Linked DNA regions of Drosophila melanogaster. Changing the gene in region 1 together with any one later gene gives a genetic interaction. Each region holds a gene or a part of one and is shown in the gene's direction. Other genes may lie near its edges.

Region 1 (7,772 bases):
GCCATTGGCCGTACGTTGAATGACCAACTTTGTGGAGGGCTTGTAGATGGTTATGTTTGAGCGACGATTTCGAGGCGACTGCATTGAAGTGCTGGCGCTCCTGGCCACCAGATCTCGCTTCTGCTCGAACTGCTGTGCGTTGCGCACAAAGCGATTGCTGCTCGGTCCCTGGATGACGATTTCGAATGGTAGATTCAACGTCTTGGCATTCATCTGCATGGTGCGAATGCACTCAGTATCGGATTGGTCGTCATTACACTCGCACAGGCACTCCTCGCCGCAGTAGAAGCCCAAACAGCCGCAATGCTCACACAGCGCCTTGCAATTCTTCTCGAGCTTCGACTCCGTCAGGGGATTCACATTGCGACTAGCTTTCGTGGATGTGGCCAATGTCGATGGCGGTTTGGTTGTCGTGCTGGACACTACACTTGCTTGGAACTGAATAGCAGCCAGTAGAAGTATCACCGTATAGCCACTGAGGCTGCTCTTCCGTATCTTTTCCGTCATCATTGTGGGTGCTCCAGTTCAAACTGTCTGGCCAATTGCGATGCGCAACCGATTTTATAACGCTGACCAGGTGAAATCGTAGATGTTCGTGACTGACAGTTGATTCTAGCTTACAGTTCGCCGGAATTTATGCTGACTTCGTGTGATCTTGAGACATTTCCCAATTGGGTTCTCTAATTGAGTTCTTTGTGCCGGTTTTTTTTGGCACACTTCGGCGTGCCAAGGCCGAATTCCCGCACTTGAACTTGGCCCAGAACACACATAAATCTTTGTTTACAGCGTTTATTACAAAAGAAACCAAACAACGAGTTGCCACTGAAGTCATTAGCGGCGCTTGCCCTTTCCCTTCTTGCCGCCACCACCACCCCCAGATCCGGATGCATTCGACTGTGGCTGCGACTGCTGGTGGTACGAGTCGCCGGATTTGTTCTGTCGCGTCTTCAGCTGCGGTATCTTGCTGGCGATATGCAGCATGATGGACTCGCGCGTGGGAAAGTCATTATTGTACAAAGTGCCATCGACATTACGCAGCTGGACGCGCACACGACCACGGAACTCCATCTCGCTGCTGTTCTCGCGACAGTACTTCTTGTTCTCCATGAGGAACTGCAAGTTGGAAACGGACAGCACATCGCGAATCTCAATATAGCTGGGATTGTCTACACAGTTCTCCTTGGGCAGCCGTCGACCCTCCTGGCGTGTCTTTTTCCTATTGATGTAGGCGGGATATATGCAAATCCATCTGTGTTAACAACAATAAGAGTTACATGCGAAATCGAACTTTGTGTTTTGTTGGCCAGTGCCTGGTTCCTACCGCTCCATATCGTTGTGTTTCATGCTGGGGCTCCAGTTTTTTTTCATGGGAACTGCTGTCGCCATTCTTTCAGTGAATTCTTGGTTGGTTTATTGCAATTCCTGTGTAATTAACAAAAAATGAGCTAGAAAGCTATTTTCCACGCAAGCAACCCAATTGAAATAGGGATGGCACGTGCAGCTGGCCGAGTAATCGATATTTAGCGAGGAAGCCAATAATTATATGGCTTTTTCTGGCTACTACGTAAGAGGTTATTTATAAGCGACTTAAATTAAAAGAGTACATGAAATAAATTATTTTAGGTAATTTTAATTTTTGGCTTATCTGGTTTAATAGAAGTTGGCGGAAAATAGCCAACATCTATTAAGCCACATTTCCCATCTCTTGTCATATCGATGATACCTCTACAAAAAGCCCTCCTAACCCTATCGATAGAAACATCGACTTGCGATCATCTCCAATATGCAGGCCGCGGAAGAACTTCAATAACAGTCTGTTTTTGGTCTTTCCGTGGTGTAATTGATTTGAGTTGTGCGGATAACGCGAAAAACCAATCGACGAGCGTCGGCCAGCAATTCTAGTCACGCGTGTCGCGAAGCCAAGCGGTAAACAAAAAGCACGCCCCACACCGCAGTGACCCCCCTCCATCAACACCAACACCACCACCCCCCGCGCTCTATCAAAACAACAAAAGCACACACGCAAGGCCACGGCGGAGCAGCAACAAGAAAAACAACAACAACGGCGACAACAATGGAAGAACTGAACATCATATTACAGAAGACCAAAGATAAATCAACGCAAAAGGAGCAGGATGAGGTACTTATCCCACGGCTTAATCCTTCCGGACCCCGTGAACTTTGACATTCGAAAGTGGCAAGCGAACGAGAGACACAACAGCAAACTAACCAGCTATTTTGGCCTTCCTTCCGTTCTCCTTCTTTTTCGACCCACTTCATTTTGGGCTTTATTTACATGTGGCCCACGCACGCAAAACGCTATCCAGATTCTGCTGCAGCCCTTTACATACATACAACAGATTCCTGGCAAGCAATTCCGCTCTGAGTTGGCCTTGGCCTTCAATCACTGGTTGCTCATACCGGGCGAAAAGTTGGCGCAGATCGGAGACATTGTGCAGATGCTGCACAATTCCAGTTTGCTGTGAGTATATATCAATTATCTGATTAATAGCCCTATATCAGATTAATAGCACGCCAATAAATCAGCATGAAACTACAGACAATGCAGTGTTTTTGGCCCAAAAGTGTATATACTGCGTATATACTCTATTAAAAAGTTTAGCAAAGTTAACTTAAGCGATAAATATTATCATAACAAAGTACTGACTAACTGGCATATCAATATTAAAACAAAATATTTTACTAAAATATCACAATACATACTTTTGTACTCACTAAAAATATGTCTGTAAGAAACCATATAAAATCAGCGCTAGTTTAAATACCTGTCGATTTATTGCCAGCCAACTAATCATGCTAGTCGTGCTTTACTTTTTAGTTTTGACCTTTGCCTTCCTTCGTTTTTCTGCTCCCCATTATTTGGCTTTGTTTACGCTTTGTTTGTGCCCCCCCCCCCCCTTCAAACACAAAACACCCGAACGTTTGACCCCCACCCCGTTTTGGCCACTTCTCCTGCATGTTTTATCTCAATTCACACTTGCAGAGTCTGTATTTGTATACATTTGGCTTATTTGCTTTCGTTCAGATGGATTCCAGTTAAATGCCTAATCGAGTGTAAAGTTCTTTTGGGCAAGTGATGAAAACAGTAGAGACTCCACGCTCCAAAAATGTGAAAATGCTGCCATATGCTCGTTGAAGAAACTCTTATCATCATCAGCTCAGTTCGTTTCCACAACGCGCATATGTTATATAGAACTTTGCTTTATCATTTCGTTGACTCACTCGCACTCTTTTCCCAATTGGATTTGACCATATACACAGTCTCGCACATTTGTGGATTATTTGGCCAGAGCGTTGTACGCTGGCCTCAAATCAATTTTCAAATTTCATCATGAGCCCGCAGGTTTCTCTGTTTACAATTGAATTTCTTTGCAATCCAATGTGGATTCGGAAATTGCATAAATTATTTAGATTTTTCCCCCAGGGCGGCCTACGGAGGAAAAGCGATGAATAAGATGATGTTGGCTTGCCAACAAAACAGTCGCAATTAAACTTTGAACTCAGCCAATTGAAGTGTCTGCGCCGCTTTTCAATTGAAGGCAGTAAAGTGAGTCGAAGTGACCAGGGATTTTCGCCTATCTTCAGGCAGCAGCTATGGAAGTATTCATCTCGCTTTCAAGCTAATCCCGTCCTGCCTCCGGCCACCTGTCGCCATTAACCATTCGGAGGCAAACACTCAGGAATGGCCTTAATTCTGCTTAAAATCCCCAGCATTGTTCCTCGAGACAGCAGGCAGTCTCATTCCTCCGCCAAGTGGCCTGCATGTTCTTGGTGTTCCCTACTTTTTTTTTTTTTTTTACGTTTTTAGTAATGCATTTTCATATTGGCAAAAAACTTAGTTTTTACAACGACGCCAGCAGTTGCAGCCATAGTGCCTCCTCGTACGACCCTCGTCCGTCCGTTCGTCATTCATGCACTTATGCCCATTGTCAGTTAGTCAGGCCGTCGCCAGTCGACAGGCATTGTCACAACTCTTGCCACGCAGCCCATTTTCCTCATTTTCCCCAACACCAACCAGCCTCCTTTGCACCCAATCCCCATCCCATACCATACCATTCCTCATCCCATCCTTTCCATATCCCGGCCCCTTTGTGCGTTGTCGCTTCAACGCCCACGCCTTCGTGCCAAGCCATCCAATCCCGTCCCGTCCCCATACCATCCATATTCCCTACCAATGACTTTGCCAGCTTTGGCGGAGCGCAAACATTTTTTAATTACGCAAATGTTGGGCTGCCCAGCTCGTTTTACCCGCCGGGCATCGTAGTTATTGAAGCGATGGCGGCCTTTAAGCGAGGCTTAAATTTACACATCCATTATTTTGGTGGAATGAGGAGCGCCAACGTATGTTTATAAATATGAATGTGGATGGTGGACACATGGAATCCGCGGCTCCCTTCGCTCGAATTGTGAAATTCTATTTAAAAACCCATACTTTTCTATGCAGTACGTGTTCATATAGTGCAATTCTGAATTAATTGCTATACAAAAACATCTGCTGATAAGTAAACTATTGAATCTTAAAACCAAGAACATATTTTCACATTTATTCTAATTTCAAAACATTACTGGCTCGAATTCTTTCTTTGCTAAGTTGATTGTAAGGTAGTAAAATTGTAGTATCTAATGCTTGAAAGTATATTAAGCTTGAATACAAGTACACAATTAACTCACGGCAAATTATATACATGTATGTTCTTGATACTAACTTACAGCATTGATGATATTGAAGACAATTCGATCCTTCGCAGAGGTGTGCCCGTGGCGCATTCCATCTACGGCGTGGCCAGCACCATAAATGCGGCCAACTATGCACTCTTTCTGGCGCTGGAGAAGGTGCAGCAGCTGGATCATCCGGAGGTACGCAAATCCACCTCTACTATGAAGCTCAAAGTAATCCGCGTTTCTTGCAGGCTACCAAGGTGTACACCGAACAATTGCTGGAGCTGCACCGTGGACAGGGCATGGAGATCTATTGGCGCGACAGCTTCACGTGTCCATCCGAGTCGGATTACAAGCTGATGACTGTGCGCAAAACTGGCGGCCTCTTTATGCTGGCCATTCGCCTTATGCAGCTGTTCAGCTCCAACAAGGAGGACTATTCGAAGTTGACGGCTATATTGGGCCTGTACTTTCAGATACGCGACGACTATTGCAATCTGAGTCTGAAAGAGGTGAGTGTATAGATTGGTTGGCAATATGCATAAGTCATTGTTAATCTGTGATAACATTCCGATGTAGTACACGGAGAACAAGAGCTTCGCCGAGGACTTGACGGAGGGCAAGTTCGGCTTCCCGGTAATCCATGCGGTTCGCACCCAAAAGCAGGATAAACAGGTTCTACGTAAGTCCAACGTCTTGACCTCAACCAAAGGCTTTTCACTCATTAAGCTGATGGCTTATGGTTATATCCACAGACATATTACGCCAGCGCACGCACGACATTGAGGTCAAGAAGTACTGCATCACCTTGTTGGAAAAGCTGGGCAGCTTTCAGTATACACGCAAGGTTCTGGAGTCGCTCGACGCAGAGGCTCGGTCGGAGGTTAGTACTTGAAGACAAGCAATGGGAAGTGGAAGTTGCTTGGAAGTCTTGATGATGTTAAAAGTAGAAATTCGCACACATCCCATCGTTGCTACGTGTTTTGTGCTAAACTAAAGTAATCTCTCAACCCACACAGGTGGCTCGTTTGGGTAGCAATCCGTACATGGACCGCCTGCTCAACAAGCTGCTGTCGTGGAAGACGAGCGATAGCGCCAGCATCACGCAGTCGAACCAGATCAATCACAACAACGTCTCACGCAGCAGCCCCAACCAGAACACGCTCAATTGCAATTAGCAGCCAAAGAGGCAAAAGAGGGAGCAGTCGTGAATTGCGAACGGCAGAGCCTCTTTTGCCGCCAATCCGGGACAGCAGCAGGCCAGCAGCCAGCCGACGCCTGCGTGCCTCAGTGCGCCCCTGTTGCGTTTCCTGCAGAAGCTGAAGATATTCTGAGATTTATGTTACCCTTTGCCAAACCGAAAAGCCCACAGAGAACCCCTACCTTACTGTCAACCGAAACCAGAGCGATGAGAACGGAAATAGGAGGAGGATAGGATTTGGATTTGATAGTGAATCGGATGAAATGGGATGGATAACAAAACCAACAGCAGCCTTACAGAAAATTGTTAAGCCAAAAGTAAATTGATATAAGCCAAGCTTATCGTTGAGCTAGCAAAGAGCCATATTACAGCTTTCCAAGAATTTGTTTTTTTACTTTTACATTTTACTTTATACTTTTAATTTAGTTTTGCTTCAAAGTTACGTAGTTAGTTAGCTCGTTTAGTTTCCCCAGTTTTAGTTTCGCCCAACGAATGGGAGAGGGGGGGGGGGGTGGGGATCAAGCAAATCTCGCAGAGCATTACTGAATTATAGAATATGCAATTTTTTAGCTCTTGTATTTCTAAGTGTGTTTCGTATTCGTAACTCAATTCTGCAAGCAATTTTCAATTTCTAAGTGTCATTTTATCAAATCTAACTCACTCGGAACTCAATGTGCACTTCCTTTATCGACGTTGTTCCATTTTAATTGTTATACAAATGCGATTCGTATACATACATACATATGTACTATTAACGACAAATTGTTAATGTTTTATGCAGACACTATAAAATCAACACAAATGAACGCAACTATATATATTGAAATAATGATAATGATGCACTGCACGGCAGGTTTTTGCACATTGCACCACCTAAAAAATATATACATATATTATATATAAAAATATATATATTTTTATTGTAGTTATACACATGAAAGAAACAAAAAGAAATAAACGGCAAGAGAAACCGGAAAAATAACAAGAAAATTAACCAGATTGCTGAAGTGGAAATGGAAAACTATAAACTATGCGAACATTTTACGGTAGAAACGACAACTAATAGCCGAGAATTTACAGTGCACGCCCAGATGCAGCTAAACGCAAACGCACCTAACATTTTGCCCATATACTATATACTACTAATGAAAACATTGAAATATATGTAAATGTATTTAAATAAATATTTATGCCAAGTTGTCAACTAAAGTTTAAGTGTCGGGGATCATTTACAAATAGTCGCCATATCGGCATGTTAACTGCTTATCCAGAATTATACATTCATTTAGAAAGAATACATTTTTAATATCCATTTCTTAACCTAGTAAAAATAGGTTTCCTAACTGTTTTAAATGTGTATTTAAATAGAAAACAATGTAACGTAGAAATACGTTATTGTATGCTTGGTATGTACATAAGTTAGTCATAATTACTTATCCATTAGCTTTTGTTTTCAGGAGACTAAGAGTCCTGCTCAATCATATCCATCAGCTGCAGAAACTCCTGGGAAGCGCCATCGACCTCGTTTTCCCCATCGCCATACTCCTCATAATCATCGTCGTCCTGCATGAAAACCAAATTTTTGAGTAATGGAACAAATGCCAGCTAAAGTTTTTGCAACTAACCTCGAAACCAAAGCAGTTTTTGGCACTGATCTTGGAGTTGGCGCTCGGTTCGTGCTTGACCAACACCTCCTCGTCGCCATTAACCAGCTCTACGACCATTACCTCGCCATCATCCCCTTGCCATTCCACGGTGAAGTCCGAGTTGTCCGGCTCCTCCTTGATGTGGAACGTCTTGGTGCCCCGTTGACTTCGGAGGCGTTGATTGATGATCATCGGCTGCTTTTCGGAGGCGGCAAGCCTGGCCTGTTTGTTGATAATGATAGGTG
Region 2 (4,751 bases), on another chromosome or scaffold:
AAAAAACATAAATTAATGCAGATATGGAATCCCAATTGCTGGTCTTGACTAGCACATTTGAAAAGTGTTCGGTAGAACGTAGAGCTTTGCAAATGACTCATTGGTGGGAAATTTGACCAAAGCGATGCAATTACTATTATCTGACAACCGTCTAACGAATAACATAAGTTAAGGATAATAGATTACATTATTTACAAATACCTAGTAGCTAGCCCTTTAATCGTCGAAGAATAGTATTTCTAGGATCCGTTTCTGTGCACTTTTCTTCCGTTCCTTGTTCATTTTCAGCAGTTCCGTGGTGACTAATTCTCCCAGCAAATGCTCAGACAACCGCTGCACACCCGGATGATTGGGCGGCGCCTGGAATTTCCCGAAGTTTGCGGGATGCGAACTGCTGGCCTGATGTGGGAACTGCTGGTATAACTGGAAAAGGAAGTCCGTGTTTGACGGAAACATGTTCTGGTGCTGTTGCTGCTGCTGGTTGTTGTGGCTATTATTGCCGCTGGGATTGTTGCTCCCGCTATTGCTGCTACTGTTATTCCCATTTCCATTGCCCCGCTGCATGGGCATCGAATTGCTGTAGTGATTCTCCTGCTGCATCATAGCCTGCGGCTCCATCAGATCATGGCTGTTCTCATCGGATTCGTCGTCCGAGTCATTGCCAAAGTGACTACCATTGCTGGTCATCTGGTTATGGGCATTGCCATTTAGTTGAATACGGGGTTTCTTCATATGGAAATGGCTCGATGACGAAGAGTCTAGACCATCGCCCTTGGGGTTATAGACATGTGACTGTTGCATCTGCAGAGTGGAACTGTTGCCGATGGAAGCGCCCGTGGCGCTGGAAGAGGAATGTACCACCGGAAGCTGCTGTTCAGATGCCGGCGACTGTTGCTGCGCTTGTTGCTGCTGCTGCTGCTGTTGTTGTTGCGTCTGCTGCTGAGGATGATGGGATCCTGCCCCAATTCCTTGCAGCGGCGACGACAGCGGTGATTTCATCGAGGATGATGTTGAGGTCAGACTGCCAGCGCTGTTCTGGGCCCCGTTCATGCCCACGGAGCCATCCTTGTATTGATCCTGATAACCTTGCGAGGAATCAGCCATTACAGCTGCAACGGCCGCCGCCTGTTGCTGCATTTGTGACTGTGATATGTGCTGGAGCTGCTGTGAGGCCACGGCAGCCGCAAAATCCCTGAACACCTGGTCCGCCTCGATCTTCACCTGGCCATTGACGTTTTCCAGCGCAGATGCAGCAACGTTACTCAGAGCACTCATTGCGTGTTGCTGATCCGGCTGGTGGTAAAGATGACTTTGCCCTGAGCTGCCAAACTGAGACACATTCTTCATGGAGCCATTGGACTTATCAACCTGGTATTCGTTGTAGCCGGAGCTGTTGGCGGACTGTGGAGATGTTAGGAAGTTCGGCACATGGCGGTAGGACTTGCGCGGCTGGATGTGCTGGTCCAAGAACTTCATTTTCTCCAGGTATGGACGCGACAGGTGTTCGTAGACAGGTGGATCGCCCTGCTTCCGCTGCGACACGTAGCGTTCGCGTAGGTACTTCCACCGCTTCTTGCACGTGTCCACTGGAAAGGAGGGCAACATTTATATAGAGGATCTGCCGGAGGAGCGCGTCTTCCTCACCATCCGTGCGCAGCTTCATCGCAATCAGCTGCCAGGCCTCGTCCTTCGTCTCGTACTTGCCACCATTGGCGCCGCCGTTGAGGTAGTACTTCTGCCGGTTGTAGATCACTCCGTGCTGCGCTACCTCGTCAATTAGCTGCTCATCCATCATTTTAGTTTAATTCGTGTTTTCAGCTGCCAATTTGCCTTTGGTGTATGTCAGGCCATTTCCAACACTGTTCATGGGACATCGAAACAGTGTGACCGAAAATGTAGCAGCAGAGTGTCAAATATAATTTGAAGATATTGATATCGAAATATATTCGACAATTTGCATCATGTTTAAATTCGTCAGCATTTTGATTTATATATAGTAATGCATTTAATTAATTAACACGCAATAAAATTAATAATTTCAGCAAAAGTAAATCATTTGCTGTTCCTGAATTTACTAAATAAAAATGTTTAAAAATTTAACTTATAAGTTACCTTCACAAAATTCTCGAAAAATAAAAGTCAGCTATAAAATAGTTGCTATAAACGTATTATGGTTATTTGAAATTTTAAGGTGGGTTCTTTTGCGAACCGAGATTCAGTCACACTGGCAATTTGGTACCCGAAGTTGAATTGCCGTTTTGTGAAGCGGATAGTTACCTGCCGATAATCTTAAATAAAAATGTTTAAACTGGCCCGTATGCTCCTGCCGCAGCAGCGGATCCTGGCCAGCCCGCTGCGCCTGCAACGCCTGATCTCTACCAGCGACGAGGTCAACGCAGAGCCCATCATCAAGTCCATGGACACCATTGGCGGCCTCCCCACCGAACTGGTCAACGAACAGAAGCTGAAGAAGACTAGCAGGTAATCAATCTACCGGTTTTCGCACTTGACCTTTGCCTTGCCTGTTTGTTTTGTTTACATTTCGACCGGTATGGGCATGGGCATGGTATGCATGTATCGGAGGCCTGTTTTGGGCGTGATTTTCGAAAAGGAGTTTCGGGGTCTTTTTTTCTTGATTTCAAGTGGGGGAGAAAGTTTGTATCGAGCCGCTTATGCAGTCACGTAGACCATAGATGCGTGCATGTGTGTGTGTATGTATTTGTGCCTGCCTGGTGGTGTCAGTTATGGGCTCTATTGTTCTTGACTTTTGTTTTGTCCACAGAACCTTATCGACGCTCCAAAATCACTCGGTTCCCATTGCCGCTCGCGTCACGGTGTCGAAAGATGAGAGTCGCGACTTTATGGCCGTGTTCCCAGGTGAGATTTGTTTATTTATGCCCAGTAACAATTATCATGCAAATACTAATGCTAATTATATTTCGATGTGCAGATCTTGTGCGTGACATCACCACCGTGACGAAGGCATACAATTGCAGCGACGCAGCCAAATGGTTCGCCCAAGTCCTCCAGTACAATGTGCCCAGGGGCAAGAAGAACCGCGGCATCCTCACCGTGCTCACGTATAAGAATCTAGTGCCCACCCAGGATCTTACGCCGGAGAACATAAAGCTCGCCCAGTATCTGGGCTGGTGTGTGGAAATGGTAGGAGTTTTATGCATTAAATAGTTTTCCTAATACAAAGTTATCGATCATCTTTTCAGCTCCAAAGTTTTTTCATCATCTCAGACGATGTGATGGACAACAGCACCACCAGACGCGGCCAACCCTGCTGGCACAAGGTGGAGAACGTGGGCCTGACTGCCATTAACGATGCTCTTATGATTGAAAACGCCATGTATGCCATTCTCAAGAAGCACTTCAGCCACTTGGACTGCTATGTCGCCCTAATGGAGCTCTTCCACGAAATCACATACATCACTACCTGCGGACAATCGTTGGACCAACTGAACTCGAACCGCTGTGTCTCGGAATTCACAATGGAAAACTACAAAGCAATTGTCGAAAATAAGACTGCCTATTACTCCTTCTACCTTCCATTCGCACTTGCTTTGCACTTGGCTGGGTAAGTAATGGCCATACATATATAAGATTCCGCTTATTAATCTTCCGCTCTATTGTTTAGCTATAAAGACGCAGAGGCCTTCCGTCAATCGAAGACCATTCTCCTAGAAATGGGCAACTTTTTCCAGGTTCAAGATGATTTCCTCGACTGCTTCGGTAATCCGGAAGTGACTGGTAAAATTGGAACCGACATTCAGGACAACAAGTGCTCGTGGCTGGCAGTGGTGGCAATGCAGCGAGCCAATGTCGAGCAAAAGCAAATCATGGTCGATTGCTATGGCAAAGAAGGTAAAACTAGCTTAGCAAACCCGCACAATTAGACATTGACTTTTGAATATTAACCTGCAGAACCAGCTAAAGTGGAGCGAGTGAAAGAACTGTACAAGGAACTTGGACTGCCATCCACCTATGCCATTTTCGAGGAGGAATCCTACAACATGATTAAAACGCACATACAACAAACCTCACGCGGGGTGCCTCACCAGACCTTCCTGCAAATACTCAACAAAATCTACCAACGTGACTCCTAAATTACTCAAGCGCAACGACTTTACGGATACGTTTTTAATTAAATTGTAGTTTTAGCATTTACATGGATGAACTGTTAGCAAGGGCTCAGCAATTACAACCGATATGAACTTTTTACTATACATACAATGTTCTTTGCTTAATCGTCTGTAAAATCAAAGGGCGCAAAAGCCTTTCGGAAATCTTCCACATACGCCACTTCTTCGTCCTTATCGAGAAGGCAATCCTTCCAGTTCACTTTTTCATCGCAGTTAAGAAGATTCTCCGAACAGAACACGTCCCTGAAAAAATGAGTTTAGTCAAGAGTTGGTAGCTTAAATCGAGAAGTTAACGCACCTTGCGAAATGAATGGGAAAGTGTTTCATTTGCCGCGTTATAAGTGTGCTATCGTCGGGTAACTCGGCCAGGAAATAAGGTCCCATTTCAGGCAGCATTTTCTCAGAATCCAATGCGGGAAGTGTCTCAAATTCCAGATTAAATTCCTCCGCCTTATCCTGCAATGTTGTGGGATATACATCATATGTTATAAAAGGTTGAATGTCGTGAGCATACCTCAAAACTATGTTTTATCTTCCAGGCATAGCCTTCTTCAAAGGCAAGCGCGTTGATTTGTAGGTGAACCGATTTATAGTGCCGTTCAG

Evidence for each region.
Region 2: of qm (region 1) and Fpps, changing one enhances a phenotype caused by changing the other (phenotypic enhancement), as found in Drosophila melanogaster (one study listed by BioGRID).

Annotation. Positions count from the first base shown.
Region 1 is NT_037436.4:7,346,536-7,354,307, forward strand, and holds qm (quemao), read left to right. Parts: upstream 1-1,777; 5' UTR 1,778-2,074; coding exon 2,075-2,140; intron 2,141-2,327; coding exon 2,328-2,482; intron 2,483-3,868; exon of another isoform or gene 3,869-4,267; intron 4,268-4,733; coding exon 4,734-4,878; intron 4,879-4,931; coding exon 4,932-5,192; intron 5,193-5,259; coding exon 5,260-5,362; intron 5,363-5,435; coding exon 5,436-5,563; intron 5,564-5,699; coding exon 5,700-5,858; 3' UTR 5,859-6,198; exon of another isoform or gene 6,199-6,807; 3' UTR 6,808-7,087; downstream 7,088-7,772. Other genes in the region: CG14834 (uncharacterized protein), read right to left, coding at 1-510; Srp19 (signal recognition particle 19), read right to left, coding at 832-1,249, 1,322-1,386; CTCF, read right to left, coding at 7,343-7,444, 7,507-7,772.
Region 2 is NT_033778.4:11,304,991-11,309,741, reverse strand, and holds Fpps (farnesyl pyrophosphate synthase), read left to right. Parts: upstream 1-2,213; 5' UTR 2,214-2,299; coding exon 2,300-2,481; intron 2,482-2,782; coding exon 2,783-2,877; intron 2,878-2,950; coding exon 2,951-3,162; intron 3,163-3,221; coding exon 3,222-3,583; intron 3,584-3,643; coding exon 3,644-3,870; intron 3,871-3,930; coding exon 3,931-4,112; 3' UTR 4,113-4,231; downstream 4,232-4,751. Other genes in the region: CG7745 (uncharacterized protein), read right to left, coding at 217-1,586, 1,645-1,795; CG7741 (uncharacterized protein), read right to left, coding at 4,250-4,391, 4,447-4,604, 4,663-4,751.